Danio rerio: one gene and its partners. The protein of the gene in region 1 interacts with the protein of each later gene in a pairwise test. Links are inferred from orthologs where the notes say so. Each region holds a gene or a part of one and is shown in the gene's direction. Other genes may lie near its edges. The genes, in order: kifc3, abi2a, necab2, stx11b.1, cdr2a, zbtb8a and trim54.

Evidence for each region.
Region 2: the proteins of kifc3 (region 1) and abi2a interact in binary tests that used the Homo sapiens proteins (3 or more experiments, as listed by UniProt). The link is inferred for Danio rerio from reciprocal best matches to the Homo sapiens genes KIFC3 and ABI2.
Region 3: the proteins of kifc3 (region 1) and necab2 interact in binary tests that used the Homo sapiens proteins (3 or more experiments, as listed by UniProt). The two-hybrid records come from large-scale screens. The link is inferred for Danio rerio from reciprocal best matches to the Homo sapiens genes KIFC3 and NECAB2.
Region 4: the proteins of kifc3 (region 1) and stx11b.1 interact in binary tests that used the Homo sapiens proteins (3 or more experiments, as listed by UniProt). The link is inferred for Danio rerio from reciprocal best matches to the Homo sapiens genes KIFC3 and STX11.
Region 5: the proteins of kifc3 (region 1) and cdr2a interact in binary tests that used the Homo sapiens proteins (3 or more experiments, as listed by UniProt). The two-hybrid records come from large-scale screens. The link is inferred for Danio rerio from reciprocal best matches to the Homo sapiens genes KIFC3 and CDR2.
Region 6: the proteins of kifc3 (region 1) and zbtb8a interact in binary tests that used the Homo sapiens proteins (3 or more experiments, as listed by UniProt). The two-hybrid records come from large-scale screens. The link is inferred for Danio rerio from reciprocal best matches to the Homo sapiens genes KIFC3 and ZBTB8A.
Region 7: the proteins of kifc3 (region 1) and trim54 interact in binary tests that used the Homo sapiens proteins (3 or more experiments, as listed by UniProt). The two-hybrid records come from large-scale screens. The link is inferred for Danio rerio from reciprocal best matches to the Homo sapiens genes KIFC3 and TRIM54.

The regions. Positions count from the first base shown.
Region 1 is NC_133193.1:48,507,729-48,512,242, forward strand, and holds the start of kifc3 (kinesin-like protein KIFC3), read left to right. Parts: upstream 1-1,425; 5' UTR 1,426-2,300; coding exon 2,301-2,603; intron 2,604-4,514. UniProt on the Homo sapiens protein: Minus-end microtubule-dependent motor protein. Involved in apically targeted transport. Required for zonula adherens maintenance.
Region 2 is NC_133184.1:13,878,977-13,883,314, forward strand, and holds the start of abi2a (abl interactor 2a), read left to right. Parts: upstream 1-1,423; coding exon 1,424-1,540; intron 1,541-4,338. UniProt on the Homo sapiens protein: Regulator of actin cytoskeleton dynamics underlying cell motility and adhesion. Functions as a component of the WAVE complex, which activates actin nucleating machinery Arp2/3 to drive lamellipodia formation.
Region 3 is NC_133193.1:22,796,605-22,801,230, forward strand, and holds the start of necab2 (N-terminal EF-hand calcium-binding protein 2), read left to right. Parts: upstream 1-1,685; 5' UTR 1,686-1,699; coding exon 1,700-2,017; intron 2,018-4,626. UniProt on the Homo sapiens protein: May act as a signaling scaffold protein that senses intracellular calcium.
Region 4 is NC_133195.1:29,251,905-29,256,294, forward strand, and holds the start of stx11b.1 (syntaxin-11b.1), read left to right. Parts: upstream 1-1,578; 5' UTR 1,579-1,620; intron 1,621-3,105; 5' UTR 3,106-3,110; coding exon 3,111-3,998; 3' UTR 3,999-4,390. UniProt on the Homo sapiens protein: SNARE that acts to regulate protein transport between late endosomes and the trans-Golgi network.
Region 5 is NC_133178.1:62,640,423-62,644,261, reverse strand, and holds part of cdr2a (cerebellar degeneration-related protein 2), read left to right. Parts: intron 1-3,001; coding exon 3,002-3,150; intron 3,151-3,344; coding exon 3,345-3,512; intron 3,513-3,839.
Region 6 is NC_133192.1:26,257,024-26,260,862, reverse strand, and holds part of zbtb8a (zinc finger and BTB domain-containing protein 8A), read left to right. Parts: intron 1-1,201; coding exon 1,202-2,025; intron 2,026-3,492; coding exon 3,493-3,662; intron 3,663-3,839. UniProt on the Homo sapiens protein: May be involved in transcriptional regulation.
Region 7 is NC_133195.1:42,032,157-42,035,995, reverse strand, and holds part of trim54 (tripartite motif-containing protein 54), read left to right. Parts: intron 1-1,502; coding exon 1,503-1,675; intron 1,676-3,839. UniProt on the Homo sapiens protein: May bind and stabilize microtubules during myotubes formation.

The DNA.
Region 1 (4,514 bases):
CACAATTTGGATCACAGCCTTAAACTTGCTGTTTCAAAGCATTATAAAAAATTATTTTTGTGGTATTTTCAGCTGATACTTCACAAACACACACACACACACACACACACACACACACACACACACACACACACACACACACAAACACTATAGGGACTTATTTTACATCTTGTTTAAATGAGTGTAAGAGGCCCCCTTTGAAGAAGAGAATATTCAACTTGTATCATCATTTTGGTATTGTCTTATATACAGTTGAAGTCAGAATTATTAGCCCTTGTTGATGTTTTTTTTCTTTTTTAAATATTTCCAAAATGATGTTTAACAAAGCAAAGACATTTTCACAGTATGTCTGATAATATTTTGTCTTTTTGAGAGTCTTATTTTCGGCTAGAATAAAAGCAGTTATTAATTTTTTAACTACCAATTTAAGGACAAAATTATTAGCCCCTTTAAGCTATTTTTTCCGATAGTCTACAGAACAAACCATCGTTATACAATAACTTTCCTAATTACTCTAACCTGCGTAGTTAACCTACTGTAATTAACCTAGTTAAGCCTTTAAATGTCACTAAGCTGTTTAGAAGTGTCTTTAAAAATATCTAGTCAAATATTATTTACTGTCTTCATGACAAGGATAAAATAAATCAGTTATTAAAAATGAGTTCTTAAACCTATTATGTTTAAAAAATAAAATAAACAAATAAAAAATAATAATAATCAATAATAATAATAATAAAACAGGGAGGTTAATAATTCAGGGGGGCTAATAATTCTGATTTCAACTGTATATAAAAAAAATTGTTGTTTGTTTGTAGTTTTCTGTTTGTAGATTTGCCCAGCCCTGCCACTTTAGTTTGAGCACTTACTTCTATACTGGTTAATTTGGTTCGAACAGGCACTCTTGTTGTTTTCCCTTGGTCTGAAGCATGTGAACGGCCCCTAAAAAGGGTAATGAACCAGAAGATGGCCTTTTGTTTGTCTTGCGCACACACTTCAAACATGATTCAATTTTTCCCCCCTGAAGTACCAGCACAAGACAGCGCCGATCTTCTATGTCCCCGAATCCTAATTGATCACTCTAGATTGGCACTGTCAGGTCTCACTGCGCCACATTCCCATAGTTGTCTGTTTCCATATTATGTTCTATCCATTGTCACACAGCAGGAGCATGATGGATGGCTTTGTAGGACGCAGTTCAACAGGGTCATCTTACCACGGAGGCGACCAATCACAGACCAGCTTCTTTATCCTCAGCAGTGCATTTAAAACATGTTTTGAGTTGATTTTCCTTATTTTGCATAGATGCAAACACTGTTGTTACATCATCGGCTAAGAGACGCTTAGCTGTCCGACTGCAGTGACAGATGGACACAATGAGAAAAGGGAGGGCGAAAGAGTGAAAAGCATTTTCTCTCTCGGAGTTATAGGACTACACCAGCATCGCAGGAGTTGGATGGGTTATGAATGGTTGGAGTTTGCCCAGTCATTTGGACCTAAAAACGGGGATAAAGACTATCAAAACAAGGCATTATGAAAGGAGTGGTCTGACCTGTGAGTTTTGTCCTGCAATCCAGTGACTGTAAAAATACAATAAAACCATTACTGACGCAAGTGGAGGTGATGATTTGTCAAAGTGCCAATGGAGATTACGACTGAGAGTTTCATGGTTACTCTTTCGATCGAATTTCACTGGAATACACCTGTAATCTTCTGGAAGATCTCCAAAGAAGAGGCGTGCAGATGGGGAAGATAAGCACCTAAATATTATGTATCCTGATTAAAGAAGCATTTATCATGCTGTTGGCTTACATTGTTTATCAGGCGATATCTTTATAGACGTGTCCAGGTAGGTTAAAATGGCTTTGTGGGGTTTAAAAGCAGATGTGCGGTAGTCGTCCCTCCCTCATTCTCTCTTGAACGAGATTGGGAGATGAGAAAGCCATCTCATTTGCTGATCAGATCACAGACAGATTATCAAGCCTAAGTGAGAGTTCTGGAGCTCGAAGGTGTTGGAATAACACGGTCTTACCTTCCAGGAGTTGTTGTTTGAGTGAAAACAGTGGTGGGAAGACATGCAAGAACTCAACAATACTTGATTCTAAACTGGCTGATCACCTTCACGTCGACCGATAAAGCTCATTGCTGCGCAATTCGGAAGAGTTTATATTACGACTGTAACTTTAACCAGAAGATAGTGTTCAGTGCTTGCGCTCACCCTGAAATGGGATCATCCAGAATCGCTTTTAAAGGATACTCCGTCTAAATGTGTGTGTGGAGACGTCTCCAGTAGTCAAGCCAGCATGTATGTTCTGTGCACCTTGGTGCTGCTGTCTCTTCACAACCTGTTTAGGAGACCCCGAGTCCTGGATCCCGTTGAACCCAAAGCTATCGAAAGCCCAGAGAAGCACAAACCAGATGTAGGCAAACACGGACGCAAGAAGAGAAACAAACACCACATTCCTGGAAGTTCTGGACCACTAGAGACTTCAAGAGTGCATGGGCAGAGTGACGTTGATAGATGCCTTGACGGATTCAGCAGCAGAGCGAGTAAAAGAAGATCTGTTCATCAGGATAATGTGCTGGAGAGGAGGAAGATAGCACAGGTGAGCGTGAACATGGAGGTTAAAGTAAAGAAAGTTGTTAGTTGAAGGCTGTTTGCATTGCAGCCATCCAGTTTAATGTTCACTGTTAACGATTTTTGTAAATTACACAGTATTTAGCTGTAATGTGAACTGTATTTTACTGTAGGACACTCATGCAGTATGTTACTGTATTTTAATGCTGCATTGTGAAAATTAGTGTATATTCTACAGTAAAGATTTACATTAGGGTTGGGCGATGTTGACCGATTTGGCATCGTACGATGTCTAATGTGAAACATCGTGATGGACGATGGCATCAGTGAATCATTTATTTATTCATAACAAATTAATAATTTGTAGCCACCCGTTGCGACTACCTGACCTGCATAGTCTTTGTTTTATACATAACCAAATCATAAATGAATAAAGATAAATTACACATAAATGACCAACCGGTCAATATTTTTTTTTGCGGGATTCTGGCATGAATAGGCAGAGTGATCTGTGTCATTATAATGGCGTCGAAAAACTTGGTTGGTAAAAAAAAAGGTGCACAACCAACAGGAACCATCCAACAGTATCTGAGGTTTAAGCTAGAATTACAATTTACTAAAAGTACAAGCGTGAAAGCGAAAGACTGAAGCAGTGTACTGACGCTGTGTTACCTGATAGATTCAAAAGACAGAGGAGTCGTTAGATAGAGACAAGATTAATTAAATATCAAGTTTAACATCTATAAGATGCAATCCAGCGGTACATCTTTAATAAATTGTCCAAAGTGCACTGCTCTCTGGGATTTTGTGCTCAAAGCACCCACTGACTGCCTAGAGCTCAGACGTGCGCAAATGCTGCAGCACATGCCATGTGTGTTCAGCAGTATGTTTTCAGAAGTGCTAGATAAAACGCCAGTGGATGTGGATCGTTTTCGTTCTAAAATGCCATTTTAATACTAAGATGTATTGGTCTAAATGGGGCCTGAGTGTGTAATTCTAGCGACGGGGGCGGGGCAGAGGATGTTTCTCGGCCTTTGTCGATCGACGATGGCATTGCCTATTGACCCAAAACTATTATACATACATATCTGTAAATACAAGATAAATGGTGCTGTAAATGTAAATACAGTCTATTTGCTGTACTTGATTTACAGTAAGTTACTGGTAAATTGCTGCCAGTATGTTACTGTAGATTCTGCAGGGAATTAAGTGTTGTTTTTGACCGATCAGTCCTCAAGCTGGAAGAGTGTAACTGATGAGTCTCTCTGCTACTGGAAAACCTCCATTTAATCCAAAATGCAATTATTTATTCATTGATTTCTTCTCATTATTTATGTGCGTTGTATTATTGATTTGAAGAAACCTTAGACGGCTTTAAGTTGAACATATTCCTTTTCTGAGTGTGTGAATTTCATCAAGTCTACTGGAGCTATTTTAATCAATCAAGTGCGTTTTTCTCGACTTTTCATCCTTATCCAGAATTTCTGTGATCAGCTGCTTCTGGTGGGAGTAATTCACTATGGGAACATTTTGTAAATGTTCTTTCTGCATAATACACACAGGGATTTTCATTTACCTGGAATCATGTTTATCCTCCCAATGTCCCATTTCTAATGTTCTCTGCAGTCTGATGGATCGTTTTAGCAGATCAAATCCTGAGTGGTTACGCAAGCAGTGGGTTAATCAGAGAGCTCTCTGTCCCCTTTAATCATAATTTAATTCGCATACGCTCTGTTTACTGCTATCCCTTTTCCTCAATCTTTATGCTTTGACTTGACGAATTAGCAAAAATCTGGATTTGCTAGAATTTTAACATAGTGCTTGTGATTTATTACACCACTTCTTTGTGTGCACATTAGTTTTGTACGCTCTTAGTTGGGGCTATATGTAGAATTCAGAAACACTCAACCTCTTTGGCCCAGGGCTACATTTTCGAGAA
Region 2 (4,338 bases), on another chromosome or scaffold:
CTGACACTTTCATTGACGTGAATACTTGCTTTTGGGGAATGAGCTATCCATTTTGAGCAAGTGACTTACTTTTGCAGGTTATCAAATAGGTTTTGCAGTTTGTAATAATTGTTTTGAGAAATGTATCAACCGTTTTGCAAATGTAAATAATGTGAGAAATACACCAAAGCCACTGACAACATTAAATGGAATTGAGAGAGAGAGAGAGAGAGAGAGAGAGAGAGAGAGAGAGAGAGAGAGAGAGAGAGAGAGAGAGAGGTGTAAACCATGACCATAATGATGATAATACATTTCAGACAGACAGACAGACTGGATGGATGGATGGATGGATGGATGGATGGATGGACGGACGGACGGACGGACGGACGGACGGACGGACGGACGGACAGACAGACAGACAGACAGACAGACAGACAGACAGACAGACAGACAGACAGACAGACAGATAGATAGATAGATAGATAGATAGATAGATAGATAGATAGATAGATAGATAGATAGATAGATAGATAGATAGATGATGTTCTTTTGTAATTTTTGAACATCTATATAAAATACAAATAAATGAAAATGTTGATCTGCAAAAACATTCATCAAATTGTTTGGATGTTTGTTTTCTAACAGATCATGTGACATTGTAAATAATGATCAAATCAAACAAATAAATTACATTTTAAAACAAAGTTTTCACTATTGACACCTTTATATTGATATAATATTTATCTTTTCACTCTCTTTTGAACAAACAAATGCAACTTGATGAGCTAAAGACCTTAAAAATCAGCACTATTAATCAGAATGAAATGAGTTTATTGAGCATGCTTCATAGTTCCACAACAAATTGATCACATCAACTTAATTGTTTTCTCAAATTTAAGTAGGTTCAACATAAAATAATTAGGTTGTCCCAAAAACAACTTAAGAATTGTGTTGTTTCAACTTATTTTAAATAAGTAGTTTAAACAAGCAACAAAAGTAATTTGAGTGATCAGCCATTTTTGATTGCATGATGTATAATAATCCTAATATTATATTATATTATATTAATTATATTATATTATATTATATTATATTATATTATATTATATTATATTATATTATATTATATTAATTATATTATATTAATTATATTATATTATATTATATTATATTATATTATATTATATTATATTATATTAATTATATTATATTATATAATATTATATTATATTTTATCATATTATATTATATTACATTACATTACATTACATTATATTATATTATATTATATTATATTATATTATATTATATTATATTTCAACTTTTCGCCATAGTAGGATTGGTAGACGCGCTTCCCTGCTTTCCCCAAACTCAACGGGGAGGTGAAGCGGCGGTACTTCCTGTCGCTAGTTGCGCGTGGAGGGAGAGAGAGGGAGATGTAAAGATGGCGGAGCTGCAGATGCTGCTGGAGGAGGAAATTCCAGCGGGTCGCAGAGCGTTGTTGGACAGTTTCACCAACCTTGACAGAGTCGCCGAGTACTGCGAAAGTAACTACGTACAGGTGAGCGGCGAAGGAGTACGCATTGTATGTGTTTGTGGAGTTGGGGAGGCTGGAAGTGTGTGTATGTGTGTGCGGTGGTTGTTGATCATCTGTTGAGGCTCAGCGCTAAGTACGTACAAACAACCGCGGCTTGTCCGTGTTCAGATTAACTATAAAAGTTTATGACACTCGTAGGTGAGGCTTTAAACTAAGCGGTGGCTACTTTTGGAGGGCTTGAACTTCTGTGTGCAGTGATTTGAGCGTGTAGGTAGGTAGTATTCAAGTTACATGATCATTGGGGAAACTTTGCTCTGTCAATAATGAATGCGAGTGAAGCAGCTGACAGCACTGTTCAAAACAACGCGGATAAAATTCAAATCATTTAGTCTTGTAAACGTAGACCTATATTGTGAAAATAGACGACACTTAGCTGATTGTAACCACTTTGAAGTGAAATCTTGACATGCTGTTTGAAGCATATTGTAAGTCTAAACATTACCTTTAGATTATTTTTTGTTTTTATTTTTGTCTAAAATTTCAGTCAGTTTGTAATCTGTAAATAATTCGTATTTTATATGCTTTTTGGTACATTGCAATCATAACTGTTTTGGTGCAATCAATACTGGGGTGATAGTGTTTTTGACATGATGGTTAGTAGCATATCATGTTTTTGGATTAGTATAAATTTCAAAGCAATTTCTTTAAGTGCTGGATAATTGAGCAATTCCATGCAAATATCAACCTTCCCATAAAAAATAGGTTTTTACCAAAATAGACATACAGTTTCTACATTTTTTTTTGTGTAAGTATTTTACAGTACTTTAAAAATACTCAGAAATGTCTCTGTCAATGTTTTCAAACTATTATATTTGATTTACCAAAGTCACACAAGTAGCAATTTTACATCTGTCACATCCATAACGGAGAGGCATCTTATCCATAATAAAGCTTTTCTCTCAAAAATGTCAAATAAAATGAAATCAATAATTTTTGTTTCATACTGAGCCAACTCTTATCTCTTTGATTAACATTACTTCTTTTGGGTTGTACAGTTAGTAGTAGTATGTTATACTGTAAACTCTGCTGACTTTTTTTGCATGTTAACATTTAATGCATGTTTATTTTCTTCTTTTAAAATTTAAAATGTATTTACAGATTGATATTTTTCTGTTCCCATAACGCTGTGGTTAGTTGTTTTGGAAAATATAAACAGATGTTTCGATATTATGTTAACATATACTTTCTATGTGAATTTATGGTTTGAGTTTTTACTACAATTGTCACATCCATGATTCTGGAATTGCTCAATTATGTTTTTTTTATGGGTGACTGAAGAGCCATGCAAATCTTTTTGTCTGTTTTAGATTTTTTTTAAAAATTCAATGGTAAAATCTTAATTTAATCTATATCTCCTGTACACTTTTTCTAAACATAAAAATGCAGATAGAAGCTGTGATGACATTAAACCCAAGCATACAAACTTAATGCAAATGAATTAAGCAAATTGTTAATTATAGAAAGTAAACTTTATTTTGTAGCCTCCATTTTTTCCTGTAATATTCACAATATTCTTTGCACATCTGCTCATACATTATATACTTTACATAATTGTAAAGCAATTTCTATGCCTTCATCTTTTGACTTATATCCAAAAGCAGTTTTTGTGATTCTCAGCACTGATGTATGCAAACTCTCACTTAGGAGTTTGTTAGGAGCAATATTTTTTTTAATAGCAAGGGCCAGTTTTTAAATATTTACATTATGGGATTTTAGAACAGAGTTGTGAAGGAACAAGAGTAATGAGAATGTCATTGAAGCAGACCTTCTGTCACATTTTCCATCCTGTGCTCTTGTAAATTGTGTATTTGGACATGGAATTCTCTGTTCAGTGTGATCAATGAATGTCTATATGGGTAACTAAACTATGCCACCATCTGGAGCTCACTACATATAGGCAGCACAGCATACAAATAATGCTCTTCACATGAAGACTACTTGCGTTTTATTATCCTATATTTAAGCTAATGATGTTTTATGATTTAAAAAAAGCACATAATAGGGATGGGATGATAACCGTTTTCAAGGTTTACTGTGGTTTGAAAAAGTCAGTTTTTTTTCTAAACCGCAAATCTTTTCTGTTATATCGTTCCTGCAATATATATACAGATTTTTTACTTGTTAAAGACTTGTAACTTCATCCAAGCATGCTTTGGACCCGAACAGTGTTTTTCACTGCCTTATTTATATCCAATGAAAAGAAAGATATTCAAAGATGCATTTTCAAGTAAAGAAATCTGTGCTTTTGAAACGAATGAAGAATCAATGATTTATTTTAATTATTTTGACATATTTACTGTTCCAAAATATTGAAATATATTGTGTTCAATGGGGAAAAAGTTGTTGTTGTTACCTAGATATTTAAAAATAATCAGTATACTATAATGCCAATATTGCTATATTATATTAATATTACTAAGTCAGAATATCTACTATTTTTAATCCAAGGTTAGCACAAAATCAGTTTTATCACATCATTTTTTGCTGGGTTCCAGGACATGTTGGACTTTCAGGCAATGAGCGAGCTGATGCAGCTGCTAAAGATGCTTTGAAGCAAGTAGTGATCAAATGCCAAATTCCTCCATCAGAGATGAAACCTTTTATCAACGCTTGCATTTTAAACAAGTGGCAAAAGGAATGGGATGCATTAGAAAACAATAAATTACATGAAATCCAACCTGAAATTTCACACAGAATTTAAAGACATTTTAACAATCGATTTGATCAAGTAGTTTTTACCAGATGTCGTATTGGGCATACGA
Region 3 (4,626 bases), about 26 Mb from region 1:
CTGATTTTTTATCATTATTTTTAAAGGTCTTTAATCGTACATTTTTATAGACTTTTAGTGACCTTATTCTTCACTGTGGAAGTGTACTTGTTTTTGCAATTGTTTTAGATATACCAATTTAGCTGCCAATAGAGGAACTCATTCATTCATTCATTCATTTTCTTTTCGGCTTAGTCCCTTTATTGACCTGGGGTTGCCACAGCAGAACGAACGGCCAACTTATCCAGCATGTGTTTTACGCAGCGGATGCCCTTCTAGCTGCAAACCATCACTGGGAACCCATACACTCTCATTCACACACCTACACTACAGACAATTTTAGTTCCAATGGCTGCACCTGCTCGTACATTAAGAATAAGGTCAATCGTGAAGACAGGAAAGCATAGGGAGCAGAGAAAGGGGTAGTATAGGCAAAGGACCTTAAGCTGGGAATCAAACATGGGTGCTATATGTCAACGCACTAACTACTAATCCATTGGTGCCAACAAAACTGAAACTTTTTTGTGGATTTCTGCCATTCCTTTATAATAGAGTGTTTTAGGGGCCTGGAAATGCAAACATTTCAGATTGTGTTTCAGAGAGAGTGTCTACAAAAACTATACCATTTTAATTTCTGTGTACAAAATACAAAAATATTTTGTCATGTGCATGCATATCAATTTTTGCTGATACAGTATGAGCAAATGGGAACACTATTAACAACATTGTCTTTTTGTATGCCAAAAACTTTTAACTTAATGCAAAGACTTCACAGTTTTTTGTACATTTGGTAAAATGGGGGTTTTGTTTAAAAAAAGATGCAAATTTTTTTTCATTCAGAATTATAGGTTTTGGAACCTAGAAGTTATTCAAGTGTTTCTTTTCACTTCTTTCCACAAGGTAAACATGGTAACAGTTTGCCGATTTGTTGACAATGTATGGCACAGGTGTCAAACTCAGTTCCAAAAGGGCCGCAGCTCTGCACAGTTTAGTTCCAACCCTAATTAAACACACTGATCAAACTAATTGAGTCCTTCAGGCTTGTTTAAAACCTACAGGTAAGTGTGTTGGAGCAGGGTTGGAACTAAACTGTGCAGGTCTTCGGCCCTCCAGGAATTGAGTTTTACACCTTCTGAGTATGGTATGAATCACTGAAAATGTATTTACTGAAAGCAACACATACTCCATAAATTATAATAATTTGCTTCATCATAAAACAATAATGCACATGCATAATATAGACTTGAATGTATATAATCAGTTGTGTCTTCTTAAGTTAGTGGAAATAAGGGGATATTTAATCTAAAAATGAAAATTCTGTCATCATATACGCCCATCATCACAATCAGGGTAACCATTGGCTCGTTTTTCGCGGGGTTATTCCTGGGTTTTAATACAGCTACCGTTAAATTGGCTACTTTACAGAGATGAAGTAGAATATTTGGTAAAACAGGACTAAAATAACTACCATCATTAATTCAAAAGTTATTGTCTGCTATCAGTTCTCTTAGTTGATCCTCTCTCTAAATTGCAAATAATGCATTTTCTCTCATGTATTGTATCTTATTCTACTGCAACTGTACTAAATTCATGGCATTTACTTAACTGCTCCAATTTGGAGTGTCAGAAGGGCTGAGTTTTGGGCTGGGAGCCGCTGATGTCATAGCAGAGGGAGGGATCGCCCCCATAGCGCGCAGCATGAACGCTCCGCGGCAAAAGGATGTGTGAACAAGCAGCGCGCTACTGCAGGGACGGCGTCCACAAACTGCTCCACAAAGAACAAGCAAAACTCCGGGCACAGGACAGCAAAGACCAGCCCACACCCGGGGCTCAGGACAGCGAGACAGCGACGGCTGCACAGTCCGGAAACAGCGGCGCACAGCCCGGTGGAATAGACGGGCTCGTCCGCTGGATAGTCACCAAGATGAGCGACAATAAAAGCATCTCTACCCGGGAATACGCGAAGGAGGAGGCGGCGGTGGCTCAGGAGCAGTTCTTCGCGCCGGAGCCTCGAAAGGGCATCTCAGTCATTTTGGATGTAGGTGTTTCATTTTCTCTGTGTTATGAAATATGAAGTGCGCGCGACCGTTCAACTTTTATTCGGTTTCCCGAATAAAGTAATGAACTAATTTATTCATTAATTAGTTGATTAATTCAGTAACCTCAGAAGAGTTTTAAGCATTAATTAGACATTAATGACTCATACACAACTAGTAAGCCTTTGATGCTTTGGGAATACAAAAAGCAATTGCACTTTATGAATTTATCTACTTTTAACTTTTAATTCTGTCTTTATTTTTTCTTTCTTTTATGCATTTCAGTTGCATGTTGTTATCTAACATGCTTTGCATACTTTAATACATGGATTTTGTAATTCTGATTGGTTAGTTGCAAGCAATCAGTTTTTGTACAGTAACCTAATTGGACATAGTTGACGATAGAAACATACCAGAAACATACTACTTTCGCATATCTCTCCGCGCACTCGGAAACTAGTGCCACCGAGCGATTTTAAATGGTCATCAAATGGTGATAAAAATTGTCTAGCATTAAATTTGGTGTCTGTCTAATTCGCAAAAAGCCTAAAACAATGGAATGGTGAGTCTTAAAAGTCCCTAAGCAAGCAGAAGAGCTACACAGAAAGACAGAAAGTTTAAAGATTAAATCTAAATTTCAGAAAAACAAATTTTCATTCAATGTTTTTGTTTAATTTATTACTATTATATGATTGCAGTGTCCTAATAACGCCTATATAATGGACATTCTTAGCAAAAAATCTAGAAATACAATGAAAAATAACTTAAATAAATAGTTTTTGTTCAAGGTAAATCATTTGAGTAGCCATTTTTGAAGAGTAAAATAATTTACAGCTGAAAGACCCCCCTTCAGGATGAGATAAAGCCCTCCCAATGGCACTCTATAACTGCATGCACACGCGCTGTCCCAGCCGTATCCAAATACTGTTCAGCTTCTCGAATGTGCACTAGAAAAATCAACCCAATTATAAAACACACCAAATATTCTCTAGTAGCTACAACGCTGCATACATTTGACTGTACCTTTCAGCATCTTGAGCTTATACAACAGTTTTCTTTTGCTCTGAATTTATCTCAGAGAACCTAAATAATTTATTGTGCTTTTCCTGTGAGCCTGGCAGTTATGCTTTGTGGTTGGCTGCTGTGGCGAGGTCTCAGCAGTATTGATTTAGTAGGTCAAAGTATTGCCTCAGTATTGTTCTTCATTGGTGCTGGATAATTATCTGATGGACATACCTCTCGAGATTTCCACATTGCTTTTAGGGGGAGAAGTTAAAACGTTTAAGAGAGTGATAATAAAGTAGTTCAGTTCCAGACCCAGATACAGTCTCAGGTAACCAGAACATATAAGGGGACGAAAACTAATTAAAAACCTCAGGAAAGAAAAGCCAAAGGCACCAGATGCACCCTAGTGTAAATACAATAGTGGAGGCGGGGTTATGCAGATAATGAGGTGCTGTAGATAATTTGTCTTTTATGGATGGTGAGCATGTGTACACGATTTTCTCGTCGAGACTTAAGATACGGAGCACAGCTGCTTGTAAGGGAATTGATTTCCCCCTATACTTTCTGAGAGAATTCCATTACTTATCTCAATCTTGACACGTCTTCTGCAATGTCTGTTCCAGAATCAGCCTGCATTGGTAAACAGCTGAGCGCCATTCATTATTAGAGTTTATTCTGAAAGTGTCTGAAGCAGCTATGCAATTGTAAAGACCCCATTTTCATTTCTGAAAGCCTTCGATTCAGCGGCTAGACCAGTTATAGATTCAGAGCGTGTCAAATGCTCGCATCCCTGGCTTCCCCAAACCTGACAGTAGAGCACTAACAAGCTGTCGTAAAGAAGGCTATAAGTGTGTTTCGCGCTATTGCTTTCTTACATAATCATGCCTCTGGTCCCAGACCTCATCTGGCTTTAGGGAGTAATTAAGTGCATTTAATGTTTTTGAACATTTCGTTTCCACTGGGGTTGAATGGTGTGCGCTAAATTACAGTAGTTTATGCTGTAGGACGCACATGTGTGAGAATAGTTGATCAAATGGTGGCAGCACGTGACATTTGCTAAAGACTTCATCGCACTATTGACTTGAACTTTAAAATACAAATATATCTGGCATTTGTTCAGTGGATTGGATTTGAGCCAAAGCACGGAGAATCAATCCAATTGACTTGGCAAGTATAAATGGGAGTCCCGTATTAGTGCCTATTAATTGAATCCATTTGTCACTCTCCCGTTTAAAGTCTTTGTCAATCTTTTTCTTTCTTTGGCTGACATCTCATTCTCTCTTGTTATTTGTTCCAGATCCTTTTATCGACACTAAGAGTTAGAGTTAGTTTGCAATACTTTATTCTTACTTTTTTATATTTTTATCATCAAAAATTAATTAATAAAACTTAATAGATGGGATAGATCAGGGGTTTTCAAAGTGTGAGGCGTGCCTCCCCTGGGGGGCGCCAGAGCATGTCAGGGGAGGCGCAGGAAAAAATATAATATAATAAAAATATAATTATTAAGTTTAATTATTATATGTATTTTTTATTATATTTAAACGTTTTAATTAAACAAAGCAAAAAAAAAAAAAAAAAAATACGTCAAATATAAGAAAACCTT
Region 4 (4,390 bases), on another chromosome or scaffold:
AAACGTATTTTATCTAAGAATTCATTATATATGCAGCATAGTTATATACATGGACTGCAGTTACTAAAGTACACTATATGGGCCCAACAAACAGCCCTTGTAAACAGAATAACCTGCCCGTCAAAGCGTCTGACGTAATCTACGTGCCCGTGTACCTGCCAGACAAGAAAGACCAGTTTCTACGAACACGTTTTAAAAATATAAGCTTTTTTTTAACTCTTTCTCTTACAGTGCGCTTCATCATTGTTTTACTACTTGATCAGGAGTGCGTTGTATGGTCTTTAGATATATAGATTCATTAAAAACAGAACGGATTACAGAAAATTATAATCAATCCCAAATCGTGCAATTGTAATATTAGCTCAATGTATAAAATGACTCTTATTAATGAAACTATTTGCCACTTGGAATAACACAAATTTTTCAAGCATTACTATGACTGTGGCCTACCTCAAATTATATCCTTCTCTGTCCCTTCCTCCTAAAATCAGCTTAATACAAAAGCCAATCCGTCCGTGAAAATAACAAATGCATTTAACGTAACAGGACTTCACCTCTGCAGCCAGCGATGCACGAGTGAGGATGATGTCATAGACTCCGCCTTATATCAGGTGTGCAGTGATGACCAATGTGTCCGACAGAGGGCAGAAGAAATGCGGGGCCAGGGGAGAACCGAGCAAAGTAGAGCCTAAACACAGAACTGTCCCAAAGGCTTTTTCAACTGTTTAGTTACCACGAACGCCTTAAACATGATCATAATAAATTATATTTGTTAGTTACACATTTTGTAGGCCTATGCATTTTCTCTAAATAATTCCAACACTCTTGCGCCTTCTTGGGATCTCTAGACCCCAAGCAAAAAACCCTCGACTACTTCATTACAGCATTTCTTTTTTTTTTTTTAATTATGCAATTCACGAATAATATTATTTATACACTCACTGGCTGATTAAACTCTGGTGTCTCTAAATCATTTTGGACCAGCTTTTGGGTTTACAAAAGCTTCTGTAATTATTCGGTTCGGTTTCCTCATTTTTTACATTTTAATATTGCGTTAGGATAATTGTAAGAGAAAACAATTCTCAAAAGATAATTATAAAAAAAATTCAAATATAATGCAAAACAATTATTTAAATAATTATTATAATAACAGTAATAATAATTACATGATTGGTCTCTAATCTGACCACGAACAACACAAGTGCGCCTCAAGGAACAATATCAGATGCTTAATCATATTTTAAAGTTGTCTTCTCTTATTCTAGCCTATAAACAACGTATATACACATCATCATCATCATAGCTCTGAGGCCTAGACTACTGCATAGTTTTACTTAAACGCAGGCTAGTGAAAAGACATGGAAGACACGAAGAAGATCATCTGACCGCTGAGGAATTTCTTAAAACAGAGATGATGTCAAAAGTAACGAAACGCACGTCTGAAGACTATTCAGCGAACAGGTTTGGCGTCAAAGTTACGCCCTGCACCGCGCATTCCTTCACCCCCCCACTTGGGAGAGGAGGACATCAGCCGCCTCACTGCAGAGAGGATGGAGCTGTAGTACTGACATGACATGTCGACTTAATTCAAACTGCAAATCATTTGGACAAAAACATAAGGTAATGGACTTTTTTGTAGATGACATGGGACTTTGCTTTTCACATTTCAGCTCTACATTATGTTTTTATGGGCAATTGTTCATTATTAGGCTAATAAATTCATTATAATGTTGTCAGCATGTCTAAAAGAGTAGGCAAGAGATGAAACAAAACAACATTTAATTGTTCATAAAAAACTCATTTTAAAAGATATTATTTTAGACAGAAATATTTCTTGCTATGGTTACTAACTCACAAGAGTGGTCTGTCGTGATCAGGTGGTATTTTTGTACAAATGTAGAACAACTTATTTTCACTTTTAGCATAAATTGCACATTGTTTCTTTTGACCCCATCAGTAGAGACAAAAGTAACACATGGATGGTTTAAAAGTAACACAATATGCTAAATATACTTGCTTAACTTTGTTTATAATAAATATTTCTGTCTATTACTTTAATATGTTAACTTGCGAACGTATTTTGTCCTTAATTTATTTTTTCCAAAATTTGTTAAATGACATCTTCATTATAAATTTAAATTTCAGCTCTATCAAATGTTTCAAAAGTAACCCAACAATCCAAAATTAAATAATTTAGAAGTGTGCCACATGTTTATCTGTAGCTAAAGCTTTAGTGACTCAAATAAAGTCTTATATATATATATATATATATATATATTATCTCTTTTTAATACGCTTTGCAGTAAAATACAAATAACTAAAGAGCATATTATCTTTACAGAAACAAAAGCTGAAGTATCAATTCAATCCATTCAAACTTGTTTGGTGAGTGACGCCAGTCAGAAATAGTTTCACGGATAAACTTGTTAGACTTGTGACTTTTTCGTGGTAGATAAGGAAGTGTTATCTGCCTTTTACAGTCAGAAGGTATTTTTGTTCCACAATGCCTAAAAACAAGGACAGCTTGAGGGAAAATAATATTGCAAATTATAAAATCCCAATTTTATATATTTTTGTGTCTATTGAATGAGTGTAAAGAGAACCAGAACTAAAATTGTTATTTACTTTTTGGTGGTCCAGAATAAATTAATCAAGACAAGCAAACTACACTTTTAAATAAAACAAAAAAAAAATGAGTTTGTATGGCTGGTTTCACAAATAATCTTTAATAAAAGCATTATTTGTAGTAAAAAATACTAAAGATTTTAAAAATGTTATTAACAATAAGAAAAAAAAATATTTTAAGAATTGTTTACTGAAAGGTTCTTTTTAGGAACCAAAAATAATGGTTGCAGGGCAAAAACCTCCTTCTGAAATTATTCAGAATTATTTTTAATTCTGTTTATTATTTTTAAGAGTGTACCAACTTGAACACAATCTGAAACTCACTATTTCAGGGGTCTCATTGATTGTTGCTGCGTTTTGTTCTGTTTTTTTGTGTTCACACTTATTGATATTAACTAGAGCAGAGTTTCTTTACATCAAACCAACCCTGTCAAGATGAACCCATACTTAATGTCCTTTGCTCTTCATTCTTTCTTATAGCAATCATGAGGGACCGACTAAATCATCTTCTGACCATCTCAGAGACCGACAGTCATCTAGAGGAGGTAGAATCTGACTCTTTCAGCAATGTGGATCTGGAGGAGAACTTCAGCCAGCAGGCTGTCATTTTTGACAATGGTGAAGATATGGAGTCTGTGCTTGACGAGGCTCAAGACACCAGACGTGAGATTCAGCTCATCCGCCTCGAGGTCAAGCGGCTCAGGGACCAAAACACACGAATACTCAACGAACCGACACGTACAAGTTATGTAAAGCGTGACGCCAATGCCATCGCAGGTGACATCAAGACCCGTGGGGTGGACGTTTTGGCACGTCTACAAAAGATGGACGCCCACGCCAAAGAGCTGCAAGAGGAGCATGGCATCAACTCAGCAGTAGCCAGAATCGCCCGAACACAGTATGCCACCCTGAGCAACAACTTCCAAGATGCAATGACCGAGTACAATGATGCTGAGATGAATCACAAGGAATCATGCAAGCGTCACATTCAACGACAAATGGAGATCGTCGGTCGAGAGGTGTCAGGTGACCAGATAGAGGAGATGCTGGAGAACGGTGAGTGGAACGTCTTTAACGATAACATCATGTCAGAGGGCAAAACAGCTCGCTCTGCACTCAACCAGATCGAGCATCGACATCGGGAACTGCTGGAGCTGGAAAACCGACTCAACAGCCTTCATGAAGTCTTCCTGGATGTGGCGATGCTTGTGGAGGAGCAAGGACCCATGACAGACTACATCTTAAACAATGTGCAGAAAACTGATGCTGTGCTTGGGGAAGTGCTTATCAAACTGGCACAGGCCAAAAGACATGATAATAACAACCCCTTCAAGAAAATGTTCTGTGGATGCTTTCCTTGTGCTAAAATCTGAGTGAATGTAAACAGACTTGTGGACCTGAGCTTCTGATGACCTTTGAGTGTCATTTAAAAATGAAAAGAAAGAGATGTGTAATGAAAAAGATCACAGATTTCTGACGCAAAGCTTTGGTCTATAAAGAACTGTTTGATAGGCTACTCTTGAAGTGAACAGCAGTCGTGCTAAGAGTACATTAAACACCTAACACACAACTGAAAAAAATGAAATGACGTTCTCTACAACTATACAACATTTAGTCCTCACTACTTGTCTTCTTTTCCTTTTGCAGACTGATACAAACTGTAAAAATGGTAAATCACATTTAAGTGTTTGAGGTCAACAAAAGCAATGGAGAATTAAATCTGATATTTGACTAGATATTGTGTGGGATATTCATAGGCTATAAT
Region 5 (3,839 bases), on another chromosome or scaffold:
GTCATTTCTCATCAGTTCTATTGTTAAACACTGTTTCACTGGTTTGTCTTTTTGTCTGATTTGTAATGCTGTGATACTCCTCCTCGCACAAAGACAGGCAAGTTCAGACTTGATTAATTAAAACACTCCTTTTTTTAATTGTTGTTTTTTTTAGTAACACCCAGACCTTGTTCAGCTTGTTCGGGTGTGTTTGGATAAGGTGTAATCAAAACTCTCCATGGCCATCCCTGTCCTAGCAGGTTTGAAATTGTTCAAGGCTTTGTTGATGGTTTAACCAAGACTTTTTAAAAATCTCTATGGGAAAATGAATTGGAAAAATACTCTTGGATGCCTGAAGAACTGTGCCAATATTAAAAAAATATTCAAAGTAAGGGAGAAGCTTAGCATGCATTTCAATATAATTATGCAAATATGTTTTTTTAGACATTCTCTGAGATGCCCAGTGTGATCTGATTCACTGAAATGATTCACACTTGTATTCTGAACATCTAATGTTTAAATGAGGAGACTGAAAACAATGGTGAGGAAGATACTCAGGAGTCATGAGACGAGCATGAGACTGGTCTGATGATGCACTGTTTAGGAAACTAGAAATTCTCCTTTCTGTTACATTTATATCTCTATATCTATTTATAAAAAAAAAAGTATATGTGTGTGTGTGTGTGTGTGTATGTATGCATTAGGGTTGTAACGGTATGAATTTTTCACGGTATGATAATCGTCTAAAACAATACCACGGTTTGACGGTTTCGCGGTATACGGTATGTTACAAAATAATAGAACAGTGAAGCAAATTTGACTTTTTCCAAATAATATATTTTTAGTTACTATAAACAACACCACTTACAATGAACAAATAAAAATAAGAAAATAATAAATAATGTGTCAAAGTCCAAATAAAGTCCAAATAAACATGGTGCAAATCCTCAGTAAAAAATAGATATAAATATTTACTATACTATAAATAGTTACATAACGAAACTAGATTTAATATGGAACATCCCTAGGTTTTATGTGCCAGCATGGATATGGTTGTCTATGGATATGGATATGGTTGTCTGCAATGCAGACAAACAGCTGCATCTTCATTTGCGTCTTTTGAAAACAGCAAGAGCAGCAGTTTGTCTTTGCTGTGTCACTGTTTTGTCATGTTTCTGTGCTGCTGTGCATGCAAAAGTACTTAGTATGAGAATTATTTCATGCAAAACTTTTTTTTTTTGCGTTTTATTTAGCCGCGCATAAATGTATGCCTTTCTCTCATTCCGTGTTGTTCAAAAAGCTTGGTCCACAAACAAAAGTGAAACCTATGCTTATTGGTTGTGATATTGCGAGTTTGAACCAATCTGGGCATGGAGGAGGGACAATGCATCAATGTATCATGTCTGATTTGTCCGGAGACACAGTGACGAGCGTTTCTTTGTCAAATCAGCGTTGTCAAATGTTGATGACGTAACCGCACTGATTCCGGAGCCTCTGAAAGTCCGCGAATGTTATGTGATACAGCACTGGAAAGCTGAGGTTCTCTTCTTTATGCCAATCTTTGAATTGTATGAATCGGATCAGCGGATCAAAAGTTATTAAACATTTAAGAGCAATACTTATTTTTAGCCGCGGGCGGCTGTCTCGGTCTTTAAGGGTTAAAACCGTTGATATGCAATTGTTCATGGTATGATAATCGTGCACGTTCAAATCGTGGTAAACCGTCATACCGGTATATTGTTACAACCCTAGTATGCATATATATATGTGTGTGTGTGTGTGTGTGTGTGTGTGTGTGTGTATATATATGTATATGTGTGTATATATATGTGTATATATATATATATATATATATATATATATATATATATATATATATATATATATATATATATATATATATATATATATATATATATATATATATATATATATATATATGTGTGTGTGTGTGTGTGTGTGTGTGTGTGTGTGTGTGTGTGTGTGTGTGTGTGTGTGTTTATATATGTATATATATATATATATATGTGTATATATATGTATATATGTATATATATATATATATATATATATATATATATATATATATATATATATATATATATATATATAGTTGTATTTATCTAGTAAATTACATGCAAATAAATTGTCTTCTTTAATGTACTTTTTTGATGAAATAGTTCCAATGACATTAAGCATATGAAAAAAGTTAAAACATATTCATTCTGAGTTATATAAAATTATTGTATGTTAATTATGTTACATATTTGAAGCAATTAAAATCATCTGAAAAATGGGTAAAACCTAGTGGTTTGTGGGAGAATGTAAAATATAAAGCTTTAAAATGATAGTTAATGAGTATTTAAGGGCAAAACTATGATATTTACAGTCTGTTAATGTCATCAATTGTTCTTAATCTGAATATGCCTGTTGATATTACACCGAATGGCATTGTAGTGGGTGTCTTTTAAAAATTGTTATTAAAACATATAACAGTCATTTATTTTTCACCACAAGAGGAAATAAGAATATAACCTGAACAAATGTAGTGAATGTATGGACAGTAACGCTGTATTGAATATGTACTATTTTGGTGACTGAAAACATTTACGCCCCATTCACACTTGGCTTCTCGTTCACTTTGAATGGGTGACATCAGGCATTGCCGAACTGCATTGTGGATCTGTCGGTGCTGCTTCAGTGGCGTTGCTTGCTGCAGAAGTTGAGACTTTCTCAACTTTTCAAGCACCGATGGAAGCATCAGCCAATCAGATCGCTGTATGCAAATACACCAGCTCAGAAAGTAGCTGATTGCTGGCTAATTTCATTGGCTGACGCTTGCTATGACAAACGTGCCAGCCCCAACTTCAGACACGCCCTCTGTCAAGCGTTGACACTAAACACTGTTAATTCACCATCAGTCTTCAACCGATAATTGTATTAACATTGTGTGTATGAGTCCATCTGAATCTGGATAAGAGTAAATATTGAAAGCCTTTTGTCTGTCTGTTTCTCTCTTCAGTATCTGACCAAGCAGGTGGATCTCCTGCGGCAGATGAACGACCAGCACGCCAAAGTGTACGAGCAGCTGGACTTGGCTGCTCGAGACCTGGAGAAGAGCAACCAGCGGCTGGTGCTGGAGAACCGCACGTCCCAGCACAGGATCCAGAGGTGAGGATCAGGCCAGTTCTGGCTGGTTTAAAAAATAAAATAAAAATAAATGACCCTCCCGTTCTTTATATCGTGCATGTCTCACTTGTTTAAAGTTGGCATGAAACAAAGTTAAAACTCAGCAGTTTCACAGCTGCTTATTTTAGAGAAGCAGTTCTCACAGCATCTGCAACTTTATTATTCTCCATCCGCAGCCTGACGGAGACCATCGATGGCCTGCAGGCTCATATGGAGAGCCTCCAGAAGCAGGTGGACGAGCTGAAGGCGTCCCAGTCCAGGAGGGATTTCACAGCGGCACGCCGAGCCCTCGGGGCCCAGAGCATGTCCTGCCTGAAGGAAATCTACGATCTGCAGCAAGACAAGTGAGTGTGGAGCCAAGAAACCACTATCATTCACATCATCATCATCACACACAGTCATACACTCATGTCTCGACGTGCCAAAGATTGACCTACTTTGAGCTGAAGTTCTTGCTTGTACTGAAAAAGTGGAGGTTGTGTCTGTTAGCTTTGAGCTCAAGATGTTGAGAAATATGGCTAAATGCACCCATGAAGTGACATTTATTTAAAGTATATCACTCTCTTTTACTAAAAGGGTCCCCCCAGGACAAGAAATCGGCTGAATGGATTTAAAAATGGTCAACTGTTTAGCTCTTGAAGACTTTTAAAATAACATATTTTAAAGAAGGC
Region 6 (3,839 bases), on another chromosome or scaffold:
AGACAATATGGCCATTTCTAATTACTGTGTGCAGGCAGGGGGTTTGTTCCACACAAAGTATTACAGGCCAGTAGATAGCCTATTAAAAGGGGTGGCTTTCTGAAAAAGTGGACCTTTTTTGCAGTTATTCGCCTCATTTTTCTATTCAATTGTGCATTGTAGTGACATTTTAAGCACTAATCAATGCTGGATCCACTTGGATGCTCAGATAGTGATAATAACCACACTTTTTTGATGCATCAAAAATGTTTCCTACAATTGTGTCAAAGTACTTACCGTACTATTTTACTACAAAGTATATATTTACAAATTTGGCTTTAAACTGTAAATTAATTCAGTTTGATAAATATTCTTTTGAGATTAGCATTTTAAATAAAAAAACAAATAAATAAATATTTTAAAATGCTTATTTTTAAATACAAATTTATTATCATAAAATAGGAATCTGGTAAAATAAAAACTGTACCTATAAGCAAATAAAAACCTGACCAGCTCATTCAACTTTCCTCAGTCAGAGTTTGGCCACTTGAATAATTAGAAATTAAATTTGTCTTTAAAAATTAAATTTTCAAAAACAAAATTACATTTTGCTTTTCTACTTAGATTTTTGTCTTCTTTCTAGTCCAATTATCTTTAATAAATCTTATATCAAGAAGCATTTTCTAGGCAAGCAAAACATATTGTTCGATTTAATAAATATAATGCCAAAATTAAGTGAGTTTTACCTTAAAACAAGCAAAATTCTCTGCCAATAAAAATAATCTTGTTTTTCTTTTTGACGTAAGATTATTTTGCTTACCCCATTGGCAGATTATTTTGCTTGTTTTAAGTAAGAACTCACTTAATGTTGGCATATTATTTCTTAAATCAATACAATATGTTTTGTTTTTCTAGGAAATTCTTCTTGATTTAAGAATTTGTAGATATTTGGACTAGAAACAACAACAAAAAAATCTAAGTAAGAGAAGCCTTCTCTTGCAGTGTACCTATAATTTTCACAATTCACAATTTATGATGGCATAGCAGTCAAAATGGTGATAAATGAGCTCATATAGGGGTCAAATTCTAGAATTTGTCAGTGTGGGGGAGTCTTTGGAACCACCCGAACCACCCTGGCTATGGGCCTGTATTGAGCTTAACATTCACAATCATACAGTGTGTGTACAGATTTTGAACCTCCCCCACCCCTTCTGTTTTTCAGGCCTGTTAACAAATGGACCAGTGCAGACATGTCAGCCATCCACCAGAGCTGTCTGCTCAAGCAGCTGGACCAGCAGAGAAAGCAGGAGCTGTTCTGCGACTGCAGTGTTTTGGTGGAGGGCCAGATTTTCCACGCTCACCGGAACGTCCTATATGGCAGCAGCGGATATTTCCGGATGCTCCTGACTCAGGGAGCCAAAGACACTGTTGACTCTGTAAGTGCCTCTTTTGACGTCTTCAGCCCTGATATCTTCACCATCATCCTGGACTTCATTTACTCCGGTCAGCTGGAGCTCAACAGCTCCAACGTAATCGAGGTGATGTCAGCTGCAAGCTACCTGCAGATGAACGACGTCATTTCCTACTGCAAAGCCTTCATCAAGTCGTTCCTCGAGATCAGCACGAAAGAGGACGATGAGAATCGGTATCTGTGTTTGTCTGAGAACAGCTCTCTTCAGGACAGACGTGAGAGCACTATCGAGCCGTCCAACATGTGTGATGTCAGCATGAGTTCTCAAAGCAGACTGTGGGATGAGGAGCAGGAGGATGATCAGCCGCAGGAGGACTTTGGAGGGACGAGCCCGCAGCCGTCAGGACTTCAGCACAACTCTCCTGCACAGTCCAGCCTGGAGGAGCAGTACAGCTCGGTGCTCCCAGAACGCAGGAGGAGGGGGAGCAGGAAGAGGACGGCCTCCAGTCGCCTGGTGGCAGAAGATACTTCCCTCATTGACCTGCAGGGGGTGGTGTCACACTGCTCGCAGAAAGCAGACGAGCTCTACGCCAACCTGCCTTCCATTGTTGGGGTGGTCGGGATGTTTAACAAAGGTGAGTGTGAAGTGAGTTTGTGTGTGTACCTTGTATTCCTTACTTTGTGGGGACCAACTGTACTAGCATGTATAGCATTACCACATCTCATTTTCGACCTTGTGGGAAAATTGTTTGGTCCCCATGAGAATAAAAGCTCATAACCCAAACACAATGAAGTATTTTGAATATATTTGAATATGCAGAATGTTTCCTGTGAGGCTTGGGTTTAGGTACAGGGGTGGGGTTGAGTGACAGAGTATACAGTCTGTATAGAAAAATCATTATGTACATGGGAAGTTCAAATCCCATAAAGTTAGCTGTACAAGTGTGTGTGTGTGTGTGTGTTTGTATATATATATATATATATATATATATATATATATATATATATATATATATATATATATATATATATATATATATATATATATATATATATATACTGTTGAAGTCAGAATTATTAGCCCCTCTTTGATTTTTTTCTTTTTTAAATATTTCCTAAACGATGTTTAACAGAGCAAGGAAATTTTCACAGTATGTCTGATAATATTATTTCTTCTGGAGAAAGTCTTATTTGTTTTATTTAGCAGTTTTTAGTTTTTTAAACACCATTTCAAGGTCATTAGCCCTTTTGGGCTATATTTTTTTCGATAGTCTACAGAACAAACCATCGTTATACAATAACTTGCCTAATTACCCTAGCCTGCCTAGTTACACTAATTAATCTAGTTAAGCTTTTAAATGTCACTTTAAGCTATGTAGAAGTGTCTTGTTTATATATACACTACTGTCAAAAGTTTGTGGTCAGTTCTTTTTTCATCTTTTTTTTAAGAAAATGATTGATCATCAAGGTGGCATTTATTACATGTAAAAAATGGAGTAATGAAGCTGAAAATTCATCTTTAAAATCACTGGAATAAATGATTAAATTATATAATAAACTACTTTTGAACAGTTATTTTATAGTGCAATAACATTTCACAATTGTACAATCTGTACTGTATTTCTGATTAAATAAATGCAGCATGGTGAGCAGGAGAAGCTTATTTGAAAACATTTAAAAATCATGCTGACCCCAAACTTTTGACCGGTAGTGTGTAATCAAATGGTCATTTAAAATTGCAGTGATGTTTCATCTATGACAAAAATACATGTATCTTTCCAACCAACCTAAGTTTTTTGAACTGTAGTATATACAGATTTTTGTATTTCTTGAACTCCAGCAAGACTATCTCTGCTTCCCACAAAGTATGTTCATATTGCACAAATCCAAATCATATTTGGCAACAGAAGCCACTGAAGGTTTTAATTAACAGATTATAAAGAAGCTGCATGCAAGAAATATCTCTTTGACCTGTATCACATTTCTTGGCTCTCTTTCGTTCTCTGTATCTCTATTATATTATCAAGCTTTCAGAATAATTCTCTGATGTAGTGATGCATGAAAAGGAGCTTACAGTCATTTTTCGTCTCTCTCCGTCTCAGATGCCACTCCCTCTATGCGCTACAAATGCCCGTTCTGCACTCATACAGTAAAGAGAAAGGCAGATCTGAAGCGTCACCTCCGCTGTCACACTGGTGAGCGTCCGTATCCCTGTCAGGCCTGCAGCAAACGCTTCACCCGCCTGGAGCACCTGCGCAGCCACTTTGAGACGGTGAGAAACACATGCAGCTTCACACTCTTGTTTGTTCCGTTCACACCTCCACATGACATCCTGCACTGCTGGTCAATAATTCACATCTTGTAGAAATATGCTTATATGGCAAGCTGATTATATGATTCATTCATTTATTTTCTTTTCGACTTAGTCCCTTTATCAATACGTGGTCGC
Region 7 (3,839 bases), on another chromosome or scaffold:
AACTATGTATATTGTCAGAAAAGTAACTATTCATACTCATTCACTGATATGTAAATGTAGATTTTTTTTTTTTTTTAAAGGAGATGTGCCTTCAAACTCCACTCCTGTCCCTACCCCTCATTGGTGGATGAGCAAATCAAACTGAAATGTATGAATGAGATTGAAATGAATATTTTATTAATTTCTCAGTGGATATAGGCAATGTATTTCGGTGCATGAAAAACAGATATAATTATTAAAATAATATTTTAGTCACCACACATATTTAGAAATCGAAAGATAATACAATAAAAAATCAAGCAAAATATACAAAAATAAATAAATAAATAAAAATACAACCTACAAAGTTTCAACAATTTTTTTTACTTATTTATTTAATCATTTTGCTTCTCTTGTTTTTTTCCTTTTTAAAAATTTTGTATTTAATATTTTTCTATAATAAAAATTTGGGTGTACTAGTTTTTGGATCGTTATCATATATGTTATTTTGTCAGACAAGCTCCAGATTTGGCTTCAGTACTGACTAATCTAATGTATATGCACAAATATAATATTATATAGCTTCCTATTAAAAACATGAATTTAAAAGATTTCTGTATGGTCAAAGTAACTTTAAAAAATTACTGTAATTTGTTTCAGCTAAATGTATTTATTGAGGGCACATAAGCAGTACCTGAAGATATCTTTGTCAGAGTAACTAATAGACTAACGTTACTGTTGTTAAAGCCTCGACCTGGCAGTATTACAAACATGTTTTAAAAAAGATATGTTGCCATCGCGAATGCTTTCTCATTCATTCATTCATTCATTTACATCTCGGCTTAGTCCCTTTATTATTAATTTGGGGTCACCACAGCGGAATGAACCACCAACTTACCCAGCATATGTTTTACACAGCGGATGCCCTTCCAGCAGCAACCCATCACTGGGAAACACCCATACACTCCCATTCACACACATAGTACACTACAAACAATTTAGCCTACCCAATTCACCTATAGAGCATGTCTTTGGACTTGAGGGGGACATACAAACTCCACACAGAAATGCCAACTGATCCAGCCGGGGCTTGAACCAGCGACCTTCTTGCTGTGAGGTGATCGTGCAACCCACTGTGCCACCATAACGCCCTGATGCTTTCTTATATAATATGGGAATGCTTCTCTTGTCTAAATAAAATTTACTTTGGCCACAGACTTTCTTCACATTTGAATCAAGTAATGGCAGATGGCAAAACATGACCTGGCGAGTTAAGTAAACATGAATTAGATTGTTATATAGAGTGTATTTAGAGTTACTATAATAAATAAGGTAACTTTTTTGCTTTAAAATCAGAATCCATAATTTTTCACTTAATCAAATATAAAAACGTACTTCAAATGAAAGACAAGGTAGATTCAGCACTTTTTTCAGTGCATTAAATGTTTAATGTCTGTGAAATGCTATTCCATCAAGTTGTTTGCTTTTAATGGCACCCCTTTTTTTGTCTTTCATTGCTCCAGGCCTCCAACCCTCTTTGGCAAAACCGGGCCTCAACCACTGTGTCCACAGGGGGGCGTTTCCGCTGCCCATCATGTCGCCATGAGGTGGTTTTGGATCGGCATGGTGTCTACGGCCTTCAGAGAAATCTGCTAGTGGAGAATATCATAGATATCTACAAATCAGAATCCACCAGGTCAGTCTTGTGTTGGGCTAGCCTGTGAACCAGTTCCAAGTTCCACCAAGGATAAACATTTCTCTTCTCGAAGCACTTACATTAATTAAGTCTATTTGCTGTTCATACTTCAAAGCCGTGTTCTGTATAGAGATCCAGCAACGCCCCAAGCTGTTGTGACACAACACTCTTGTGACACAACACTACAGTACCTGACACTTCTTCTGTTTCATCAATGAAGCTGAAACCCGGTGTAGTGACACATATATGTGATTTACTCTTATGTGGGAGATTTTCTGCCACGTCAAGTAAACACAAACAAAGACATGGGACCTGAGGCTCTGGTGACTGTAGCAATCGTTTGCCAAACCAGACTAAATATAACTAGGACGCTTTATCCCTGTGGCAATAAACAATGTGTCATGAGACCTCCTGTGAAAAATATGCGTAATTGGGTATAATAAGACTGATAGACTTTGAAGCCTTTTGTAACAAACGCTTTGTTTATTATGAATACATAATGTACATGGTCTTAGTGTCTTTGGTAAAAAGCCGGTACCTAAAAGAGGTTGTTTCAAAGGCACATTCTGATTGATGATGGGACATTTTCTCCATGCTTTTAAACCATTTTCCGCCATTTAATATGCTTCGTATGTATATAAAAGCACTTCTGAAATTTTAATTTGATGTGGACACTTAATAATTTTATTTAAATGATTATAACTAACTTATTTTATATCAAATATTAAGCAATTTTAGAATTAAAGTGTTTAGTTTAAAGAATTTTAAATGTAAAACGACAAAATTGCTCTTACTGTAAAACCTTTTATTAGACTGACCCACTTTTACTTTTAACTTACTATAAAAGGAAATTCAGCAAAGTTTTATCAGGAAAAGTGTTACAATTGTTATCATGTATTCAGTTTTAAAATCGTATCTAATTTATCTTGTGTTTATTTGTTTCTGGTCTTGTATTTACTTTTAATGAAATGTTTTCTCATGACTTTAGCCTTTGTTGGTGACATAACATTTCATTATTATTATTATTATTAATCCCATGCTCATCATCTGATGGTCAACTATTACTGTTGTCAATGAGACAGTAGCCTGGTTCCCTAAATTTAGTATGTTTGGTTATTAGTTGTACTAGTATCATGTGTTGTTGGATGAAATCCTAATGTCTGTGTGTTTCTATGTTCTGCTAAAAGCCAACATTCTTGTTAAGTTAGGCCCAGTAACCTTTCAATATTTTCCTGTTTAAAAATAGAAATAAAGAAATAACACAATATAGATAATATAGACATTTTTTATGGAACATTTACTTCCAGTTGTAGTTTGCCTTGTGTAATGCTGTATTGTCACTCAGAATTCCTGACACTGTGGAAGTAAATGCATTTTTTTTTACTATTTCCATTATTTCAAGAACTTATTCTAGAGCTGTCAAGAACTTGTCTATTACATAATCATAAAATTTATCCTTTAGCTTGATCATTTATGATTTGATAGCAATAGTTACACTATAAAACATTCTTGCTGCTTTATTTTATTTTAATTTAAACAAACTATTTTAGTCATCTCAATTTGCATAAGTCAAACTGACTAAAAATATAGTATTAAGGATTTAAGATTTATTTCGCTACGTAGGGAGCGGGGGTTTTATTTGTTGCATCGTTCCCTCATAGCAAACTAAGGCAAAGTATAGAACACAAAAAAGGTACTTGACTAAGTAAGAGATGCTATTAACAAAATGATAAACACAGTTGCTATAAAAGCCCTCAGATTCACGTCAACAAAAGGACCGTCACTCCAAAAACTGAAACACATGATCAGACTTTCATTAAAGATTACCAAAAACACTAATTTTTTAGATGATTAGCTTGACCAAATAATGATAAAACATTTTTTTTTTACCATTGTTGGATTGCTTTTGAAACATTTGATGGAAGTGACATTTAAAATAAAAATTGCGTTTAATGTTATTTATTTAGCAAAATTAAAGGACAAAATACGTTTGCAATAAACATTAACAAGTTCTACGTCAGATATATTTAAATTAAACAAGATTAGGCCAGTGAATCTAGCACTTGTGTTACTTTGACCCACCTGTGTGTTAAATTCGTCCCTGCTGATGGGGTCAAAAGTAACAATGTGCAATTTTTGTTTCAAGGGAAGTGATATTGGTGTT